Struthio camelus: one gene and its partners. The protein of the gene in region 1 binds, or shares a complex with, the protein of each later gene. Links are inferred from orthologs where the notes say so. Each region holds a gene or a part of one and is shown on either strand. Other genes may lie near its edges. The genes, in order: CTNND1, CTNNA1 and CDH26.

Region 1 (7,134 bases):
TGGGAGTCCCCAGTACACTAGTTCTGAAAGAACAAGTTTCCTCCAAACAGCCTCTTAGGCCTGTACAAGAACAAAAGCTGAAGAGGAGGTTGTGGCCACCTTGGGAAACTCCAGGACTTTGGTCTAAAGCCTGCAAAGCCAGTCCCTTTCCAACAGCCTCGTGTTGAGACACATTCTTGCACTGTGTGCCAGAGGACGGTTTCCTCCACCAGCCAAGCCCTGTGTCGCACACAGAGCTCTGAAGCTGCCTGAATCACCCAACAGGTTTGGTTTTGTCACCTCATCCAGGCAACACCTGCTGCCTTTTATGGACCCAAACCAGCCTGGTGCTTCCGCCCCTCACTGTCAACAAGGCAGAAATAAGGAAAAACAACAATAGAGCAGGGATTAAGGGGTTTTTTTAGGCCAGGATAAAAGCTCTGCATATCCCTCAAGACAGTATCACCACAATCTTGAGTAAGGGCTCTGCGCTTGCCAGTAGTAAAAGGCCAGACAGTTATGATGGGTTGCTGGGAAGAGAAACCAAGAGATTTAACTAGGACTCTTCCCTAAGGCTACAGGCACCGGTAAACTATTTTGAGGACTCAGCCTTCCAGGCATGATCCAAGCTATGCTACGCTTCGCTGGGCGTCCTAAACCACCCCAATACAAACACAATGGATCGAGGTTTTATCTCCGTGTCAGAAGTTGAAGGAGGGAGAGAAAACAAGGGACGCTTGATTGCAGGCTGGGCTGAAGCATCTGCCTCGGACTCTTAGTCCGTCTTTAGGGAAGGGAGGATCTCGAGGGCTACCGAACCACAAAGATCTGGGCCTGACCTCAGAGTCAGACGGGAGGAGGCTCGCCCCTCCGCAGCAGCCCAGCGGAGCCCAGCAAAGCCGTCCAGCACGCTCCACTAAACAAGCCACTTTCATCCTCCCACCCCTTCCCGGAAGGCTCCTTGCAAAATTCCAACAACTGCTGCACATCGCGAAGGACAGTCATTTGCATGCAACCGAGTCCCAGCCAAGTTCAATCAAGTGTAAAAAAAACACACTCCTTAAGTGCATGAGTAAACAGTCAGAAACAAGTAAGAGAACCTGCCTCAAGTGCCGAGAGCAGGATGGTACAGACAAGGTAACTGGGGAAGCCGAAAACATCCCCCGTTAGGGCTCTTGCTGACATAGCTTTCCACAGCTCTCCTGCTGCACCAGGGAACCCTGCCTCCAGCCGAAAGCTGGGGCCACAGCAGGCCCCGGGGAGCCGTGACGCACAGAAGCATGCACTGCGGGCAGCAGGAGACAGGAGCGAGCCACCACCAAACACTGCGACTGTCCCCAGCTGCTCTCTCCTATCTCCCCACATCCAGAGCAGCGCCCCGGAGAAAAAGAGCAAGACACTGAAACAGAAACCTCAGACTCGAGCAGTAAACACCGGGTATGCGATTCCCACGGTACCTGGGTCCTGGTGGTGCTGAGCTTCAGTATTTCGCTCCCTGCCAAGCTGAGGACAAGCCTGTTTTCAACTCCACATCAAGTGCAGGGCAGCCAAGTAACACCACAGGCAGGACAACAGGTAAGAGACCAAGCAGCAGACGGCTGTACTTCACATACCACCACAACGAGCCACGTGCCTAGATGGTCTCAGATGTGCCCAGACTCTGCCCTCTCGCTTCCCAGCGGCCGGGCAGAAGAGCTCTGTGCAAGGCTGGGTGCCACAGCCCCAAGACAAGGGTGTCCAACTCTGCCGCGAGCACGCCACAGACTCTTTCCCAGGGGAAAGGATAATCCCGGCCCTCCAAAAAAAAAGCCCTGCTCACCCCGCCGTCTCAGGAGTCCCTGCTTTGTCACAGGCTTCGTGCAAGAGCTTGGGCACGGAGCCCTTCCCGGGGAGGGAGGCACCTCCAGGAGATCCACCCCTCTCGCTAACAATCAGAGGAAGCTTTGTTGTCCGGGCTCCCTCACTCAAAGCCCAGGGGCATAGCGGAGATGCCCAGCATCCCTTCTGCAAGGGAGGCAAGCGTGCCTGTGCCTCTCTCTCTCACCGCTGTCCGAGGGCCACCCAAACTTGATTGCGTTTACCCCAAGATAAGCCTCTCCTCCGCAACACTCCCAGAGCCCTCACGTTGCAAGAGAAAGGCAGTATCAGAGAAGGTTATCGACTCCTAGCACAAAAGGCAGCGGACGGTGGGGAGGGAGGAAGCAGATCTCTTGCTAAGTGACAGGGCGGCCAACGGGAGCTGAAGAAAAACAGCCTGCTGAGCCCGGGGCTCCGGGGAACTGACCGTGGCAGGGCTGTTCCCCACCTGGAAGCGTTTCGGTGTCACCTGCCAGCCAGGCGGACACGTCTGGTTTTTAAGATCAGAGCTGTTCTATTCAGGGGACCCGCTGCGGGAGAAGAGGGTGTGTGGGGGGGGGGGGTTGTGCTCCACCCCACATACTTGACCCTCCCTAGGCACAGAAGTCCCCTTCCCCGCGAGAACAAAGGCGCAGACAACCGAGATAGCGGCAGACAGGCGAGCAAGGCAGATAAGAGAGTTTCCAGCTCGCCAGGGCGCTCCCCCACCCCCCTGCCCCGCCGGCCCCGAGCCCTCCCACGCAGCTGCCAACGGCGCGGCGCAGCCCCGCCGCCCCCCGCCCACGAACGGGCCGGCGCGGCCCCCTCGCTGCCCGCACGGAGCGGGGCGGCGGCAGCCCCGGGGCGCTGGCACACGCGCGCCCTTTGTCTGCGGGCCGGGCAGCGGCGACACGCGCGACGCTCAGCCCCGCGGGGCCTTTGTGCCCCTCCCTGCCGCCCCCGGCGGCAGCCGGCCCCGCGGCGGCTGCTCCTTCCCCCCACCCCACCCCCGGCGCTGCCGGCCCCGCTCGCCCCGGCGGCGGCGGCGGGACTTACCGTGGCCGGTCCTCGGAGGAGGGTTGGGGGGGGGGGGGGAAGGAAGGGGCGGCGCGCTCCGCGGGGTCCCGCCGCGGCGGAGGCGGCGAGGAGACACGGGAGCGGCGGCAGGACCGGGCGGCGGCCCGGGTGCCCCGCCGGGCCGGGGGGAGCGGAGCCGGGAGCGGGCCGGGGCCGGCAGGGAGGGAGGGAGGGGGCAGCGGGGCCGGGCCGCGCCGTGCGCCCCGCGCCGCTCCCGCACCTAAAATGGAAGTTGCTCCGGCGGGGCGGGGCGGGGCGGGGCCGCGGGGCGGGGCCGCCCCCGCGCACGTCAGCGCGCCGCGAGCCAATGGCCGCCGCCCCCGGCGCCGCCCGGCCCGCCAATGGCCGCCGCCATTGTAAGGGGGTCCCGCCGCGGCGGGGTGGTAACAACGGGGAGGGGGGCGGGGGCTGCCTCAAGAGGGGGGATCCTGCCCCCAAGGAGGGGGGATCCTGCCCCCAAGGAGGGGGGGATCCAGCCCCCAAGGAGGGGGAAACCTGCCCCCAAGGAGGGGGGATCCTGCCCCCAAGGAGGGGGGGATCCAGCCCCCAAGGAGGGGGAAACCTGCCCCCAAGGAGGGGGGGATCCTGCCCCCAAGGGGGGGGGATCCTGCCCCCAAGGAGGGGGGGGATCCAGCCCCCAAGGAGGGGGGGATCCTGCCCCCAAGGAGGGGGGGATATCTGCCCCCAAGGAGGGGGGGATATCTGCCCCAAGGGGGGGGGGATCCTGCCCCCAAGGAGGGGGGAACCTGCCCCCAAGGAGGGGGGGATCCAGCCCCCAAGGAGGGGGGGATCCAGCCCCCAAGGAGGGGGGAACCTGCCCCCAAGGAGGGGGGAACCTGCCCCCAAGGAGGGGGAGGATCCTGCTCCCAAGGAGGGGGAGGATCCTGCTCCCAAGGAGGGGGGATATCTGCTCCCAAGGAGGGGGGAACCTGTCCCCAAGGAGGGGGGGATATCTGCCCCAAGGGGGGGGGATCCTGCTCCCAAGCAGGGGGATCCCTGCCCCCAAGGAGGGGGGGGGATCTTGCCCTAGGGGCTGTCTTTGCTCCTGGGGGGTGGATCTGCCCCCAGGAGGGTAGTTGCCCTTGGTAGGTTATCTGCCCCCAGGGGGGATCCTGCCCCCAGGACGGGACGTGCGCCAGGGGCGAAGAACTGCCCGGCGGAGGAGCTCTGTCCCTGGGAGGAAGAGCTGCCCCCAGGGCAGGGGGTCCGCCCCCGGGCACAGCAAGCTGCTCCCCGGGCTGGGGCTCTGCCCCCCGGCAGGAGCGGCAGGGCGAGGAGGTCTCTGGGCAAAGCCCTTCCCCACCTCGGCAGCTCCTTCGGGCAGAGCGGCAGCGGATCCCCCTCCCGGCCTGGCACGCGCCCACGGGCCCTGCGCGACGGCCCCGGGCCCTGCGGCGGGGAAGGAGCGTACGCGGCACCCGTGGGGCTCAGCCCTCCCCGGGCTGGGGGTGGAGGAAGAAACGCGACAGTAGTCGGGGGGGAACTCCCTGGACGTGGGGCGACGGAGAAGGGCGGCGAACCCGCCGTGGGAGGCGATACCCTTGCCCCCTCCGCGGAAAGCCCGCAAACGCTCGCGCGTGTGAAGCACCACCGCTACCCCTGCGGGCCGCCTCCGAAGCCCAGGGGATCATCGCAGGCCGAGCCTGTCTCCCATCCTGCCGCCGGACCCCCGTGCGCCCCCCCAGGCCCTGCTGCCCCTCCGGATTTGCGTGCGGCGGCGCCCTGCCCCATCGGCTTGCGCTCTGGCAGCCTGTGCGTCATGCTTGGCTCAGGAACGCTTCCAGGGGCTGCTCTTCCCATTAAAGTTTTCAGTTGTTTCTTACTCCATCCCAGCTCCTTTTGCCTCCCCCGCCAGCCGCTGCCTCCGTCCTGACAAAACTGAGAGTTTGAGAGCGATCCCGATAAGGCAAGATGTGGCTAGCAAGGGACTGACGCAGCCCGCGCCGGTAACGGGGGCTGCCTCGCCTGCGTGCGACCCCCTGAGACCGCGGGTGGAGGAACGCAGCCTGGGCGGCCGGGGCTAAACACCTCATCTAGACGTGGGTGACCTGAAGGCCCAGCACCAGCAGGCGCGTCCCCGGTAAGGGGAGCAGGGGCGGATTTCAGAAAGCCCCTTGCGTGGCCAAGGCCGTGTGGGCCGCCGAAGGACTGCAAACACAGGGAATGGCTGTTACGAGTCCCATCAAAGCAAAGATGAGATAAGCCATTGGGAAGGGGTCTAGTGGGGAAGGCGCGGGGTCTTCGCGCGCCGCTAAAGCAATCGCGCCTTTCACAGTAGACTTGGAAAGAATCAAACGCAAACAACAACCCAGCTAAATTAATCCTGCTTTGCCCCCTCTTCCAAGGTACTAAATCAAACAGTGTTGCAATCGCTGCTGGGTCACAGAAATAATACAAGGGGATCTGGGTAGATACAGAGAGCCGGGGCCGGAAGTAGCAACAGGAGATTTAATAATTACAGCTAACGCAGCTGGAGAAATACAATTCCGAAATGCCGTACTCCACAAAAGAGAGTTACTCAGCTTGGCAAGGAAGTGGCGCCACTTCCCAGGGCCCAGGCTCCGCCGCTGACACTATATGGGAGCTGATTCAGAGTCGAGGGTGTACTGATAGCTCAAATGGGAGACCGGCAGCCTCTTCTTTGCTGTAAGCACTCTCGCACGCGCACCTTTGTGCTCTTCCAGTAACGGAGATTTTCCCCTTTTTTAACAAAGGTCTGGAAGCGATGCAGAGCCTGCCTGTTTCCAGGTTAAGCGTCACTCACCTGAGAGAAGTCCTGATCCAGATCCCCCGAAGGTGACATTCATCCACCTTGTCTCTGGTTCTGGGCTGGCTGGATTCAGTGACTGGGGAGAATCCTGTCGGGTCCTGAGTGCCAAATTACTAGTAAGATAACGGCAGGAGGAAAAGAGTCGATTAAAGTCTTGGGTGGGGATGGGTGATTCTAGGAGTAAATATGCATAGCCTGGTTAAGCAAGGAGGAGGTGGGGGAGATGCGATAGCAGCCTGCAAATGTTTGAAGAAGGTAATCCCCCAGCCAGGGGTGGAGGTTGCCGAGGGTGCTGCAAAAAGGCCTAAGGAGGAGAAATGGGATTAAGTTAACGTGAAGGACACATTTAGAGAGATTATCAGGGCGGGCGGGGGACTCCCAAACCCTCCCTGACGTTACATCAATAAAACATTCTTCAACGTGCTGGCTGGAAAGAGAGCAGGGGCGGGGGGGGTTCAGGGATGGCGGGACCTCTGCCTCTCACAGACAGCAGGAGGTTTCTCTGTCCCACGGCACAGGCGAACTGAGACCTTCTTCCTGCGCCCCTTTCGTCCTCACCCCTGCCTGATCCTCGTCTCCCAAAATCGGGAAGACACGGCCCCCCTCAGCCCTGTGGCTTGAGTGAGAACTGCTCCTGGATCACGGCTAATCCCTCGCTGCCCTCCTCTTTTCCACGCGAGCCACTCGACGCGCTGGAAGAAGGCACTTTTGTGAGTTGGCTGGACTTGGCCAGGGAGTTCAAAGATACAACGGGAGGTACAACAGGCTCGCGGTGGGGCGCACGCGGGAGCCTGGCACGATCACACAAACCTTGTGCCTTCAGGAAGCCAGGCTTAAAAAGCCAGCCATGAAACCTACAGCATCGTTATGGTGGGAGTCACCAGATGGAGCTGTTCCACGTCAGCTCACAAATTATTTCAATCCACAGGTGGATTTCGAGCGTTGCCTCCAGTGCCCTTCTTTCACCCCATCGCTGTCCCAATTTGCCCAGGCTGCGTGACAGGGAGAGCTGGTCTCCTGACACGTCTCTGCCCCTCAGGGGAGCGGGTGGCCAAGAGCAGGGTGCTCAAACCGTGCTAGGCTTTGCCCCGGAGAAAAAGCATGAGGCACACACGCCGCGCGCCCCGACACGCGACAGGGGAGAGCGCGCGGCAGACGGCTGCCCCTGACACGGACGACAGGTAAGCGGCCACCAGCGCACAAAGCCTGGGGCGTCCTTCTGGCGTGCCTGATACACGGCTGCGTTGCTGCTGTTGCAATCAGCCCAGAAATTTAACAGCCTTTAGAGTCTTTGGAGAGTTTCTTCCAAAATTAAACAGTAGAAACGCACCATCGTGAACACACCTACGTTGGCTCTGAATTGCAGCTAGAGTCAGACCTCTTTGAGGCCCGAGTGAGTGCCTCTGTGGTCCTGAGGGCTGCAGGGCTGAACTGGACGGGGTCTAATAGGACATTTTCATCCCTACGTCCTG
Region 2 (6,943 bases), on another chromosome or scaffold:
TACTTTACCTCAACAGGCTGCCGTCCTTAAAAAGTCAGTCCTCTTTTATTCATCACATTTCGTTTAGCATCCCGTACAGTCAAGAGATGCCAGTAAAACAGAAGCTGCAAGTCCTTCAACGGACTATCTCAGCCATGTATGTCCTCGCTCTAGACTAACCTTAATATCTATGCTTAGTAGATCGGGTTCTCTGCTAAATATTTTTGTGAGTTTAACTAATTCTTTTCATAAGAAAGGATATTATAGAGCAACAGTATGTATAACTTCCACACAGGCCAAAGTTCTACTAAAGCTTATTTTCAGCTCATAAATATCTCTACTAAGGCGGACTCTTTTGCAAGATCAGTTTCTGGATCTTACAGCTGCAGAAGGAAGAAATTTATGAAGCTGAAATACACAAATTACTTTTCTTTTATAGCTTTCAGTTAACTTGATCTGACTAACGGAAGTCCTACGAATAAACTGCATATTAACACTTGCCATTATACACGTTTTAACACCATCTCAAAGGCTGATGCTTTACAAAGTTTGAAAATTTTATCAGAGGTAAATATTTGCTTTGGTATTTAAAGTCATCAGTTTGGGTGCAGTATTTCTAATCTTGACCTAGTGTACTCCTCCCTGTCACCGTGGGTAAACCTTTAATCTCTGATGCAGACACCTATTATTAGAGCCAGCTGACAAAAAAAAAAAACCTGACGGCATTTTGTTTATTATCAAATACATTACAGCAAAGTGTTTCTAAAACAAAAACTGAACTTTCATCTGTTTCTCTTAAGAAGAGCCAAAGATATTTCCTTTATGTTTTCAAAACTGTTTTCCACTAAAGAAAAAAACAGAAAATGACTCAACTTAAAATAATGCCCTTTCAAGCAAGAAGATTCAGTTCAGCAGGAAGAGAGAAACAAGTCTTCTAAACACTTAACGCTGCCTGAGCACACAAAGGCAAACCAAACAGCTTAGCGTGCTCCAGACAGATACGTGGCAATCTGCCTTGTACCTGAAAGACCACACATATACTGCAAAGTAAGCTTAGCCTTTCACCTACATTGAAACCCAGACTAACATCCCCACAAACTAGCCCAAGAGCTGAAAATAAACTAGCACCTTCAGCTGGGTTTGAAAGTGCTGTAAGTCTGATCTAGCCAGCATGACTAAGGATGTAGGTTAGAATCAAAGCTACAGTTAGCAGAGCCTCTCCTACCGCCCCCACTTCCCTACTCACAATGCAGTTTAAAAACAAAACAAAAAATACAACCAAAAACAAAACAAAACAAGAAGTACAACAGGACCGACAAAAGACTGCAGGGAGATCCTAGACTATTTCAATAGAAATAACCATAAACATGCCTTGAGTCATAATTGTGAATGCTGGAATGAGAACACAATAATGGACGCGCATAACTCAGACGAGGCAAGTGGATTATTGATCACTCACGCTGACATAGCGATAACATACACACTGCCTTGCGGGTAAGGCAGGCAGACCAACGTGAGAGGAACAGGGAAGTAAGCTTCGACCACATCTAATTCTTGCCTAAATATAAGAGACTAACATACTTTTTTGTCCTCCACGTATTTTCAGCCTAAAATATTTCACACCCATTGAACTAATGTGAAAGGGACTAACCAAGAATAGCAGGCCAATATGTATTAGTCAGTAGCCCACAGGCTGCAGGGATGAGAGTTGAGGATAAAACAGTGACTGAAAGCATTGATGCAGTCTCTCTATTGTTTAGATGTAAGAAGTGGCATGAAACTTCTGGTCAGCAGAGAAAGGGTACTTGTCTTATGGCATTATAGGTGGCTATCAAAAAATGTGACATGGCTAAGTTAAGGGAAACGGGGTGTTCTGGGATGAAGAGAAGTTGCACTTTACGTATTCAAACACAAACACCAGTTTGGGGGAGAACTGCATAAGCTTGTTTTAGCTGCATCACAAAAAAATCTGCAGGTAGAACAGAGAAGGAAGAGCATACCAGTGTTGTCAGCACCAAACCCCAAAAAACCAACAACCAAAAAAAAAATCAACTCATCACAAAACTGAAGCAATCAAGCAACGCTTTCGGTAACCCATGCCAAGCAGCAAGATTCAACTCTGCAAATAGTTGCCTGGGGAACCACGTAGAAGATGCCTGTACCTGACTGCTGCCATGGCAGGGACCGGACAGGTTCACCTAGCCGTGCCCAGCAGCTGTGGAAAGTTTTTTTTTGGTGCGTTTTTTTTATTAAAGCAAAATCCCTGCTCCCACCCGAACCAGTCCGGTAACTGCGGCTGACAGTCTTCCAGCCCGATCCGTACTGCTGCTGGAAGCAGAGAGCTCTTCTTTGAACAGCAAGATAACATTAATCTACTCGTGCCCAAAAAAGCCACCCGCCGCCTGGCCGCTCTCCCCACAGGAGCCTCCCGCCCCCGCCGCGCCCGGCAGCTGGCTCTGCCCCCGCCCCGGTGCCGGGCAGGGCCGCACCGCCCGGGCGCAGCCACGCGGAGCCCCGCCGCGGCCCGGCAGGCAGCCCCGGCCCACGCCCCGCCGCCGGCGGGGAGGCGGCGCGGCCCGCTCCGCTCCGCTCCGCGGCGCCCGGAAGCCAGGCGGGCAGGGCCGGGCCGGGCCGCGCTCCCTCCCCTCCGCTCCGCGCTCCGGGCCGCCGCCGCCGCCCGCGCCGGGACGGGGCCGCCACGGGGCGCCGGGCCCCGCCGCCAGCCCCCACCGCCGCCCGGGGGCCCCTCCCGGCCGCCCGTCGCGGGGGCCAGAGCCGGGCCTGGGCCCCGGCCGAGCTCGCCCAGCCCAGCCCGGCCCGGCCCGGCTCGGCGCGGCCAGGCCCGGCCGCGGCGCCGCGAAAAGTTTCCCAAGTCGGAGGAGCGGGGCGGGGGGAGGGCAGGGGAGCGGGCAGCGCCGCCGCCGAAGTTACCGGGAGGGGAGGAGGGGGGCACCCGCCGCTGGATCCCGGGCCCGGAGCCGCCGCGGCCGCTTTGTCTCGCTCGACGCCGCTCCCGTCCCGAGCCGGAGAGAGGAAATCGGCTCTTCCGGGCACCTCCCGCCTCCCCGCCCCGCACGGGTCCGGCCGGCTCTTCCCGGCGCCGCCCGCCCGCTGCCGCGCGCCGCCCCTGCCGCCCTTGGCGGCACCGCCCGCCGCCAGGTGAGGCGCTGGGCGCCGGCCCCAGCGGCCGCGCGCGCGCGCGAGGGGCCCGCCGGCCGCGCGAGGGGCCCAACGGCTGCGCCCGAGCCCCAACGGCCGTGCAAGGGGCCCAACGGCTGCGCCCGAGCCCCAACGGCCGTGCAAGGGGCCCGACGGCCGCGCCCGAACCCCAGCGGCCGCGCAAGGGGCCCAGCGGCCGTGCCCGAGGGCCCCAACGGCTGCGCCCGAGCCCCAGCGGCCGTGCCCGTGCCCGAATGGCCGCCCGCGAGGGCCCCAACGGCCGCGCCCAAGCCCCAACGGCCGCGCGCGAGGGGCCTAACGGCTGTGCAAGGGCCCCAACGGCTGCGCGCCCGGCCCCCAGTGGCCACACGCGAGGGCCCAATGGCCACGCCTGGGCCCCGACGGCCGCGCGCGAGGGCCCCGACGGCCGCGTGCGAGGGGCCCCAACAGCCGCGCGCGAGGGCCCCAACAGCCACGCGCGAGCCCCAACGGCCGCATGTGAGGGCCCCAACGGCCGCGCCCGGGGCCGAGGGGGCTGCGGGCGGCCTGTCCCCGCCTCAGGCCTCTGCCAGCCCCCCCCCGAACGGAGCCGTCCTCGTGCCCCGACCCCGCTCCTCGGGCGCTGCCGGGACCCCAAGCAGGGCGCCCCCAGCCCTCCCCCCGCTGCGCTGCCCGCCGGGCGCCGCGCGGTTTGCGGCCCTGCCGGCTCCGCTACGGGCCTGCAGCGGTATCGCTGCGGTTTCTCAGTGGCCAGGCCGTGGGGTTTAAACCGGTCTTCCGCTTTTTTGGTTTCAGTGGTTGCACAACCAGCCCGCCTCGCGCTCGCTGTGATTTCTGCACGCCGGAAGCGTGAACTTGCTCGAAACCACAGCCTTTCCTAGCAGCACAGGGCAAAAGGGCAGGTTTCCCAGCTGCTTCTTGTGTTCCTCCCCCACTGGCCCATACTTCTGGCACCTTTGGTCAACTTCCTTCTAAGGTAAAATGAACGTTTTAGGTCAAAACACTTCCAGGAATCAAAAATCTTCTAGCTGCCATCAGTGAAACTTAGAAGAACTGCGTAGTCCCCCAGGTTTACGACGGGAAATCGCAGAGACGTTCAAAATCCATGCCGTGTCCGTTGACTGGGATATTAACGAGCTATAATTAATCTTTCGACATCTGATTTGTGTAAATCAGAAATGGAGATACAGACCATGCCATACGGACCCCGCTGATGGTCCCTAACCAAAGTCTGATACAGCCTTTAGTCTTCCGGGCTATCGCAAGATACAAGGTAGCAAATCTATTGGAAACGGGTGGATACGTGATATCAGCTTCGCTGGGAAAAGGGAAAAAATGACAGCTCGGTTCCTCTTGGGTTTTATAAATTGCTGTTTTCTTATGAAAACCTAATGTTGTATCTTAACATTTCTGAGAGTTGTCGCTTTTCAAAAAATGTCTTGTTTTCATGCAAATGTCTCTAATAACAAGCATACAGAGGAAAAGCAATAGGGGAAATCCATGACATAAAAGGGCTGTCAAGCTGTGATAATGCAAGTGTGGGAGATTTCAGAAACGGATGTATGCTATTTTAAATGTCTCCTGGAATCCAAATGCCAGAGCCTCCATCAGAAAAGGAGGAGATTTTAGAAACTTAACATTAATCGAATTGAGGTCAATCTGTAGATCTGGAAGTTGTCTTTACACAGTAATTTATTTCAAAGGTTTCTTTTTTCAAAGTGTCACTGAGTCTCTTGTGTGAGGAACTGGCCGCTTTCATTCTATACCCAACGACTTGGGGGTTTTTTTTGTAGTACACTTTGAGATTACTTTTAATACAAAGGTCTCCACAGAACTTGTGCTTGTACTGGATTGCAAAACCAGTCAAATAAAGTCAATATGTTTCGTGACTCATTTGCCAACATTTCTAAGATGCCTGAATCTACTTGCTCCTTCCTTTGATATTAGTCAAAATCTAGAGAGACTGGGAAAGCCTAGCAAAGAGTATATACTGGAGCTATCTAATCTAGTTAAGGTAGACAAAGCAACCCATGCTGGCTCTCCAGGGGCCGTGCAATCAGGCTAGTGCCATCGCGGAGGAATGCAATGCTTTAGGACTATGATTTTCTTCCAGGTCTTGGCTCCGTAAAGTCAGCAAGACCATGCTTCCTATTTTTGCCCTGCCGCTACAAGCCTGTCCTGCGGGAAGACGGACTGTGGCCTGCAGCATCTTAGATTGCATTTTGTTCTCCCCACCGGTTTAATCCAAGAGGTTAGCAAGCCAGAGAAATAAGCATAGTGCCATTGTTTTACAATCCGTAAAGAAAATAGGGATCAAGAGTCCAGCCCTGTTATGAGAGAAGTTAATCGAAAGAAAGTGAAGTCTGTAATTATGATGCTGGCTGAGATATAAGTTATTAAAATAATATAGAGTATTCAGTGTCTCAGCAAACAGACTTTTTAAACAGATGCTCCTCTCTATAAGTGCAGAGAAAACATGGATTTTTTTAAAGATTTTTGTATTTCCTGCTTGTACCAAACCATTAATATTTTGGTGTCAGTTGCACCAGGGATTCAAACTACTCATTTCTGATCTGCAGCATACTCTCAATAAAATTGAGTTTACACTTCAATAGCTTGCTTTCTTTCATTACTCCGTTTAATATCATGCCTTGGCCTCCTGTGGTGGCTTCCACATTCAGCAGTTTTGCACGTCTCACATCCTTTCAGGGCAAAATGTCAGATTAAAAAAAAAAAAATCCCTTTTCAAACTACAAACTCAAAGGTAGAAGGCCTGGCGTTCTGGAGAATCGCACTTTCTGTACCGCACTGTTGAAACGCGAAGCAAAAAGTAGAAAATTAGCTGGCAGCTCCGTCAGTTCATGGATCATCAAGTTAAAAGACTCAGCAAATAAAAAACAAAATTATGTAAAAACAGAGTCGGCTAGGCTTAGATTGGACTTTGTCTCTTAATTAACAGCTCTGTCTGGAACACGGTAGCAGGCTCTGTCAAGGAGACAGAAATGCAAGGTGTTGTTTAGACAGGCACCCGGAACAGTAGCTAACACTTCCAATCCAGTGACTGTCATTAAGACAGCATCAGGCTGTGCTGGCAACCTGAAAACCAGTCCCTTTTTTGAAATGAATTAGAAGTTTTCCACCTGACCCTGAATCTCCCTTTTAACAGTGTCTGTGGTTTTGTAATCCCATTTTCCTGGTTTTAAAAAGTTTCCCTTTTTGCTGGATGAAAACCAAACGTAAACCAGGGAAAAGGACAAGCAATGAGGGGAGACTGTTACAGTGGTGCTGCGTGTATGTTGTTAAGCACACAAAACAAACAAATGCTTTCATTCTTCGCTCTGTGACGGCAACTCTGCGCCTAGTCCGTAAGGGTACAAAGTGGTTTGTGATTGCACACCTTGGGCAGCATGTCTGTGTTAGTCAGCAGTATGCGGAAGGGCAATCCCTGATATTGCCACTTAAAGATACTAGTTCAGGTGTAGTCGCTGTAGAAAAGTTGCCCTTTTGCTATTGTAACCTGGGGGAGACTTATATGCCAGCCAAGGAGGTGGTTGGTTCATATAGCACCTGGCATGACCATGTTTTTTGTTCTTCCCAGCACACACCGGGTCTAAATGCTGTACTTTTGGCAGGAATTGGATTTTCTATTTCTGGGACAACAATGCTGAAAATAAAATAGGTACGCCATGCATACGTGCATGCCTGCCTTGTTTTGGAATGCATATTTGATCTTTTTATATTTTAATAGAGGCATTTTAGTTTTGTTATTTGTGAGGCTGACTCAGGGTTGAAGCAGAAGTAAGGA
Region 3 (7,987 bases), on another chromosome or scaffold:
GAGAATATTTTTGCGCAGTGAAATATTTATTGAGCAGCATTGACTTCATTCTCAGCCACCTATCACAGCAAACTATTTATGAGAAGTGAGCTGAGGTCTGACAGACCAGACTTTTCAAGTGGCTCCTTCCCACTGTGTTGTAAAATGAAAAAGTAGCAAATACTAAATTATGTATATAGTTAAAATGCACTTTTATTGGTTGATCTCATCTTGGTTGTAAGATGCTTAGTTGCTTCTATTCTTTCATTGTGCCTACCTGATCTTCAGCTTGGTAAAATTTCAAAGCATGGATTTAATGTAATTTAAAATGTGATAATAAATGTAGTAATAAACTAGAGTATTTTACAGTACTTAAAAAAGCAATGCTCAGGAATAGTTTAAGAAATATTTTTAGTGTCTTTTTCCTAGTCAACTGGAGACTAAATGGGAAATTTTAAATTGATGAAGGAAACAAATTTAGTATACAGTATTATATTTACATATTCAGTATTTGTTACCTTACAGTTAAAAACTAATTGTTCCATGTACGTTCTGTTCTATGCAATTAAAGTGAAACTTAAATCTGACATGCTCAACGATCAAATAAATTGGCTGTGTCAGAGGTGTGGTGACACTAAAGAGGACGACATTCAATTACCAGCAACTGCAGAGCAGTAGCACAGGCTTCTGTTTGCTGTTTCATCCTTTTGTTTTGTTTCAGAGTCGCCATGTAGGTCAGCTTTTTTGGATCAAAAGGCCCTGCATCCAACGCTTGAGTTTCAAGCTTGGGCCAAATCCTGCAAGCCTTCATTACTCAAGTTTTCCTGAATCAGTAGTGAAAGTTACTCCCGTTGCTAATAAGCAGTATTATCAGTGCACTATTTTGGTGCGCTATTTATAAGCACCAAAAGCGAAGTGACCAGGATCAAGTCCATAATCAGCATGGCAAATTTTTTTAAACAAATTCTAGTAGAAGCAATAATTAATTAGCATGTTATTATAGCACTGAATATTAGTGTATGCTAAATTTGCTTCTGAAAATTTGCTCTGTATTGGTGTTTCCCTAGGTTACAAGGAGAGCATGTAGATACCTGCACATTTTGCATGGTTAGTTCTCAAAAAATAAATAGTGTTTCAGTCTGCCTTGAATAGAGCAAAGGTGATTCGCACTGAGAGAAGGTTTTTCTCACAAACCTATGGGCTTCGAAAATTTTATTGTAATGTACTGCTTGTGGTCTGAAGGACATCGATCTGTTCTTGGGGACTGAAAATTTAAGTAGGCAGAGACGCTGATGCCACTTAAATAAATCTGAACACCTGTTAAACATTGAGCTATGATCTGGCAAGTTTGTCTTGCATGGTAATCACACAAGTCTAATTTTTGTTCATTGATGATTTGGTACTTCTTACGCAGTCCCCTCTGTTCATATACAGAAATACAAATTCTGCGTTATCCTTAATAAACAGCTCTTAAAATAAGCAGGCTCACAAGGGTTGGATTTTATCCTGCAGAACTTTGCTTCTATTTTAACTTGTCCATGTTCTGGGCTCACAGATGAAAAGAGTTCCTTTTATGATGAGGGCTAAGGTTTATATTTCCTTCATTCTGCATTCATGAATGTTGTCTTTAAAAGCACCTCTGAATATAGCAGAAAAGTTGGTTAGGTCAAGTACTTTGTTTGGAATTAAAATACTTGCACAGGACAATGCTTGTGTGGTTATTTATATTTTTCTTCACTATATTTAGCAATATGATGATACATTCTTGTGTGTCTAACCCTACTGTTCAAGGTATTTTTGAAGAAAAATTTTCCTGTGATTTGAGATATTTAAATGGGGCAATTTTTTTTTTTCTAGATAATTTAAAGGTTTAATGTTCTGTAGTACTGCCTACAGAGCTAATACACTCAGGTTGCATTTTAAATAAAATTGCTAGATTCTACTAGTATAAACTTTGAATAAGTCTGTTTTCAGTGAAATTATCCTGTTACAAAGATGTAACAAAACAGAATTTTGCTCCAAAATATATACACACTGTTTTCCTTACTAATGGTATACCCTATTTTTAATGCTTAACACTAAGAATTTTGAAACAATAGAGTTCTTCTCTTTGCATGTTTCTTCTCTCTCTATTGCCTGCATCATCTGCAATGAAATACTGTGGTCACTTAGAGGGTTGTTTCCCCACCTTGTGGTAGCTTTCAGTTAAAGACCGATGTTCTGATGTTTATGCGCAATGCTTCCCAATCCTCATTTTGTAAGAAATCAAGCTTTTGCAGTTACTCACTGAGAAGTTATGCTCCAAAGAGAGAGCATTTGTGTGAGCGCTATTTAACATCCTGGGAAAAGGAGCTTCAAGTATGATGTGGAATCATCTTCACGTGGAAGAGACTTACAAGGAGGACTCAAATCCGTCTCCACCGCTGCTTCAGTATCCTAAAACATAGGGTGTCCACCTCTTAAGGCTAGTAAAATGGATTATTTTTCTTTGCAAATGAGAGATTATGTTTGCTGATAAGAATTCAGCAGTAGTGGGGCGATACTGCTCCTTGAAGAGGCAAAAGGCTCCGTATTCTTTGTGCGTAAGACAGGAGACCTCAGCTCCTGTGAGTTTACAGCAAAGGGGTTGCCACGGCTTAGGAGCTCTCATTCCCCACCACTGCCTCTCCCAAGATGTTGCGACTGCAGCTCCCAGCCTGTGTGCTACCTGCGCTAACATGCCTCTGCTGCTGCCCGCTGACCTGTGCCCAGCATGGGGCAATAATGTTGCACATGATGACAATTATGCCTGTTGCATCCTCCCTTTCTGTGCATCATTTAATGTTCTTTGAGGTAATCTATATCTAGCATTTGCTGTTTAAAGGATCTTGTTATGGGTAGACAATATTTTGATGAGAGTTTTGTCAGTTATTGTGTGATATTAAAAATCTACAGTACAAAACTGCCTATGGTGTAATTTTTTGGCCTTCTTTTCAAAGGTACTGAGCCTTTGTTGCTCCCATTGGCTTTAGTGAGTTTTTTGGTAGAAAATAATTAAACGCACCATTCTGTCCAGAAAGAATGGAACTCTGTTAACTGATAATTTCTAGCCCAGCTTTTGATGTCTGGTAATCATGTGTACTTGTTTATTCTAAGTTTCTCTCTCTCTCCTTTTTTATTTTTTTATTTTTTTTGCTAGTAATTTCATTAGAAAGTCATCTTGTAACTTAAAAGTTACTGTCTATTTACTTTATATGCATCTTTGTTACTTGCTTGTATTTTTTTGGATCACCCACAAGATGGCACCTGTGATTTTTTCTTTTAGATAATTTCTGTTACCCCAGAGCTGAGCTTTCTAGGCTGCTGTATCTCAGCTATATTCCTACTGGTAGCCAAGGTAGCTAGTTAAAAACTATATGATTATTTCTATTCTACATGGCAGTTACTTCTGTAGTTGCTGTTTTAAGGCATCATAATACATGAAAATACACACAGACTGTACTTCATCATATTGAGATCTCTCTCACTTTCTTCAAAATCTCTAAAGTTAAACATTACAAAACTCCTTTGGGAGGTATCACATAACAATTTGACAATCAGAAGAGATAAGATGATACAGCTTTTCCAAGGAAAATGTAACCAACAAGCCAGACCAACCTTTTCCAAATGTGGTATTAATCAACTCAATCACCGTTTTCAGAGAAACTTGCACTAAGTATAATAAAGCTTAAGGTTAAAAATTTTACTTATCAGTTCTTTTCTCAGCTTACTTAGGCAGCTAGCAGTTTGCCCTGGACTGAAAAGGAGCCACTCTCCCCTTGTTTGAACCTCTAGAGCGGAGCTGCTAAATTATCTAGGTATGTTCCATAATGCCTATGCCCTTTGTCTTTGTGCTCATGTTGTATTGCGTATCCAGCTTTAGACGTTCATATAGAAGAACTTCAGTATGCAAATTGATACTTGCTTGATGGGTTGCACAGAACAATCTAGTTTAAGAAACATTTTCAGAACTTGTTCTTGGTTCAAAGTCTTAAGTAACATAATAGTAACTGTCACGGTTATGACAGATAAGAATTGCTCAGGGTACTGCATATATATATATATATCAGAAGTATTTGTAATAGCATGTCTCCACTAAATATGAAGTAATATGTTTGCATTTTTGTGAGCAACTGTAAAGTTACCAGGCAATCACATTTCTGAAGAACTCTTTAATGAAAGCTGCCTGTCTATTACAGCTGTATAATGGCCATAAAAGTTCAGTAACGACACATTTGTTTTGAGTGATAGTAGAAGTACCAATTACAAAGCAACTGAAAAAAAAAAACCCACCAAAGGGGAGCTAAGTTTTACTTTGAGTCATTTCAATATTACAGAACAGAGTTTCATTTCATTCCTGTTCTGTCTGCCAGGCAGAAATATCTGCTTTTCCCTGGAGCAGCTCTAACGCCTGTGGAACTGTAGATGATAACTATTTAGTAAAGAACAGAAATAGTGGAAGTGACAATAGTGAAAAACAGATTTTGTTGTAATAAGCCACTGTACAAAATTCCTAGGAGCAACTCAATTGAGAGCATCCAAAATCCTAATGTGCACCCTCTAGACCGGCACATGGAAGAACTGAATTGTCGGAAGGGTTCCCCCTTCCAGCGGGGCAGAACAGATGCTCAGCGCACTCTCTCGCACTCTGTTCTCACCTCTGTATCTCAGATAGCTTTGGGGGGAACTCACTATATCCTGCCAAGGAGAACAACTGGGCTGAGACATCTCTACGTAACTGAGGCCTATTCTACATCAAAAAGGCATTGGTACTAGAAGAGATCCATCGCTGTAGCTTTTCTGAAGCAAGGGTATGGGAACAGACACAGGTCCCATGCAGGAAACATAGTTTGGTGTCGCCTAACCTGTTTGAAATAAGGGAACCCCAGAGCTGCAGGACCCCCACGGATAGTGGTACAGTCAGCACACCCTGGGAATCGCCATTGGGGTAGCCTGCTTGTGCACCAGCACCAAGGTACAACATCATCAAGACAAGAGGGGAGCGAGGACTGCCGAACGCTGCCTGTGAGCTGCTGCCATGGGCCAGGCCTGGGCTGCCCTGGAGGAACCAAGGAGGAGGTGCCTCGTGGGGCAGGTGGCCCTGGCACGGCCCCGGTCCCTCCTTCCTTGGCTCTGCGCTGCCCCCGGGGTGGGCGGACGCTGGGGTGCGGCCAGGTGCTTCACGGGCACTGCTTGGCTCCACACCCAGCTCCGCACTTGGCTCTGCGCTGCCATGGAGCGACTCGCTGCGCTGCTTCTCCTGGTGGTAGGTGAGGGCTTGGGGGGGGGCGGCACTTCGCTCCCCGCAGGGACGAGGCCTCCGGCCGCTGGGTGGGCTCTGAGGGTGCAGCCTGCCCCCCGAGCGCAGCACCCCGGGGAAAGGGTAGCTGCTTTGCCCCCCAAATGCCGGGCTCAGGTCTCTCGCAAGGGGTTTCCGGGATCAGTGGTGAAACGGCCTGCATGGAGCTGGGGCCTTCGGCTCGCGGTGAAGATCCGGGGGCGTTCGTGCCTGGCAGAGCGCACTGGTGCCCAGTGCTGTCTCTGGTGGGTTTATGATCCCCCACAATAACTCATCAGCATTTCCGTGAGCATTTCTGTGGGGTTTATGGGCCTGAACAGTGTTGTTCCTTACTAGTGGTGGCCAAGTCTGGAATAGATACGGCAGCAGCTGCAGCCGTTGCTGCGCACACAAAGGAGTGCAGAAGCTGTAAAAATACATGATTAAAGCTTTTTAGTATACTTAGGAGTGGTTACACACAGACGGGGAAAGCAGCTGGGGGCGGCGGCAGGGGGGCTGTCCGGCACAGACAAGGGCTTACAAAGTCCAGCAGAGCTGAACCTGGAACTAAGCTAATAAATACTACCATTCAAGTGCCAGGTTAAAGCCTTGCTTGCTGTTTTTACACCGCAGAGGCCCAGGTCATACAACAGCTTTACAGAAAAGCTCCAAAGCACTACCCATGAGCCCCATCGCTTGGGGTGTGGAGTTAATAACCGCAGCAATTCCATCAGTATTTTGTTTCTTCAGAAACAGATCAGGAGATAAAGGCCTGACCTTTACCCAGTCTAGGTGGGAATAGCGCTGCTCCTTTCTTTAAATGACACTGGAGACCTTTTGACAGAACAGGTCAGCAAAAAGCAAGCTTCCACACGAATATTGCGAGAATGAGGAAAAAGGTGTACAAGCTGTCTCTGAGCTAATGCCAAAAGTGTAATCTGAGTACTATCACACTTGCAGTGGAAGGAAGATTTTTAAGTAAAAAGCAGTGTTTGAAGCTTGTGTAGGAATCCAGTGCTTATAAAAGCTAATTAGGGTGGAATTCCATTCTCAACAACGTATTTTACTCACGTCCAGGTTATAGACTTCGGTCCAGTTTGGGACACATAAAAACATGACAAAGTTTTTGAGAACCTGAAATACTATTCAGACTTAATATTTTCAGCAGAAAGTTTACATCCTGTCAATATAAATTGTAAAGGCAGGGAGAGACAGAGGGGAGTATTTCCGTATTTCAAGTATCAAGAGTTGGTTTGAGAGGAAGCCACAGAGATAACAGTCTGGAGAGTTCGAGACAGCATTTGCATGTTTCTGGGACTGGCATCACCTGACCAAAGAAATCAGTAGCCAAGGTCTCATGCCACTTCACTTGCAATGGGAAGGATGATATCTCTGGAATTTCTATAATTTTATAGCGTTAACTACAATGTAACACACTGGTGTCAGAACTGAACCGATACGTTTCTGTGAAGCCAAATTCCTCCCAGGCAACATTCATTCCAATGTTTTCTAGCTAACCACACTTCTCACAATGGGCTTCTCTTTTATAAGGTTACTGCTGCCAACAGCTTTTCTCACGAAGTTGAAAATTTCCACTTAAGACAAGCTACCCAAAAGAAGAGCATCCAGGTTTGTAGTCAGTGTTATTTAGTAACAGATACACTACAATTAGTACATAAACTACAGCACTAAATGCACTTCTTTATCCAATAGTGGCTAGATTCTTATCAATTAGATGGTCTACATCCTCTACGGCGTACGAAAAGGACATGGGTTATTACCACCATTGTTGTTCAAGAGGAGGAAAAAGGACCATTCCCAAAATATGCTGGACAGGTACAAATAAGCTTTTAGTACAAGCTCTTCCTGAACCTCTCTGTAAGGTTTTTACCACCAATTCTACAACAAAACATCAAGGGTGGAAGAGGGCAAGAATGCCCCTGTGTATTAGACCTTTTTTTTAAAACTTCCTTTGTTCAAACTGCCCTGTTTAAACAGAATTGGGTGGAATCATGTAGTGGGAGGGGGAGATTGCTCCTTTCTTTGGGAAGCTGTTGCCACACTTAGGAAAACGAAGAGACGATGGTATGGGAGAGGTGAGAGAGTCACTGCACAGAGCTGCGAGCCTGTATATTGTGCAGAGAGAGTGGAGAGTGTAGTGGGCTGGCAGCTGTGTCTCAGAGGTGATGGCAGGGCCTTTCTACGGACAGAGAGGACTGGGAGGAAAGTGTTGCAACCCAGAAAGCTGCTGGGTGGCTGAAAGCAAGCCTGTAAGCAAGGTCCCGTCTCCAAAGACAGAGCGGCCAGGAAGAGAATTGGTCTAAAGTATTTTACCTCTGTTCTGTCTTCCTTACTCACGCTGAATTGTGTTTCTTTTCAAAGCTGTTCAATAACAAATCATTTAATGCATCAGTACGATACTTAATCAGTGGACCTGGTGTAGATGAACATCCAGAGATTGGATTGTTTTCTATAGAAGACGATGCAAACGGACATGTGTATGTACATCGTACCATTGACAGAGAAAAGACCCCATCTTTTCAGGTAATCATGCTTTAAAAGAATACCTTCAGCAAATTTTTTCTTTTTCTCATGGCCAAATGCTTCACAGGAATGAGATATGCCAGTAAGAATCTGAAGGGTGTATTTTTGTCCTTCTTATTTTGAATCTCAAAATAAATGCAAAAGTAATCGTCTTAGCAGAAACGAACA

The links.
Region 2: CTNND1 (region 1) and CTNNA1 share a complex: the UniProt entries of both Homo sapiens proteins name them as parts of the cadherin:catenin adhesion complex. The link is inferred for Struthio camelus from reciprocal best matches to the Homo sapiens genes CTNND1 and CTNNA1.
Region 3: CTNND1 (region 1) and CDH26 share a complex: the UniProt entries of both Homo sapiens proteins name them as parts of the cadherin:catenin adhesion complex. The link is inferred for Struthio camelus from reciprocal best matches to the Homo sapiens genes CTNND1 and CDH26.

Annotation. Positions count from the first base shown.
Region 1 is NC_090946.1:7,454,282-7,461,415, forward strand, and holds the start of CTNND1 (catenin delta-1), read right to left. Parts: upstream 3,006-7,134; 5' UTR 2,872-3,005; intron 1,815-2,871; exon of another isoform or gene 1,437-1,814; intron 1-1,436. UniProt on the Homo sapiens protein: Key regulator of cell-cell adhesion that associates with and regulates the cell adhesion properties of both C-, E- and N-cadherins, being critical for their surface stability.
Region 2 is NC_090954.1:20,905,435-20,912,377, reverse strand, and holds the start of CTNNA1 (catenin alpha-1), read right to left. Parts: upstream 3,080-6,943; 5' UTR 2,911-3,079; intron 1-2,910. UniProt on the Homo sapiens protein: Associates with the cytoplasmic domain of a variety of cadherins. The association of catenins to cadherins produces a complex which is linked to the actin filament network, and which seems to be of primary importance for cadherins cell-adhesion properties.
Region 3 is NC_090959.1:14,330,887-14,338,873, forward strand, and holds the start of CDH26 (cadherin-like protein 26), read left to right. Parts: upstream 1-4,985; 5' UTR 4,986-5,035; coding exon 5,036-5,263; intron 5,264-6,826; coding exon 6,827-6,904; intron 6,905-6,988; coding exon 6,989-7,111; intron 7,112-7,657; coding exon 7,658-7,819; intron 7,820-7,987. UniProt on the Homo sapiens protein: Cadherins are calcium-dependent cell adhesion proteins. They preferentially interact with themselves in a homophilic manner in connecting cells; cadherins may thus contribute to the sorting of heterogeneous cell types.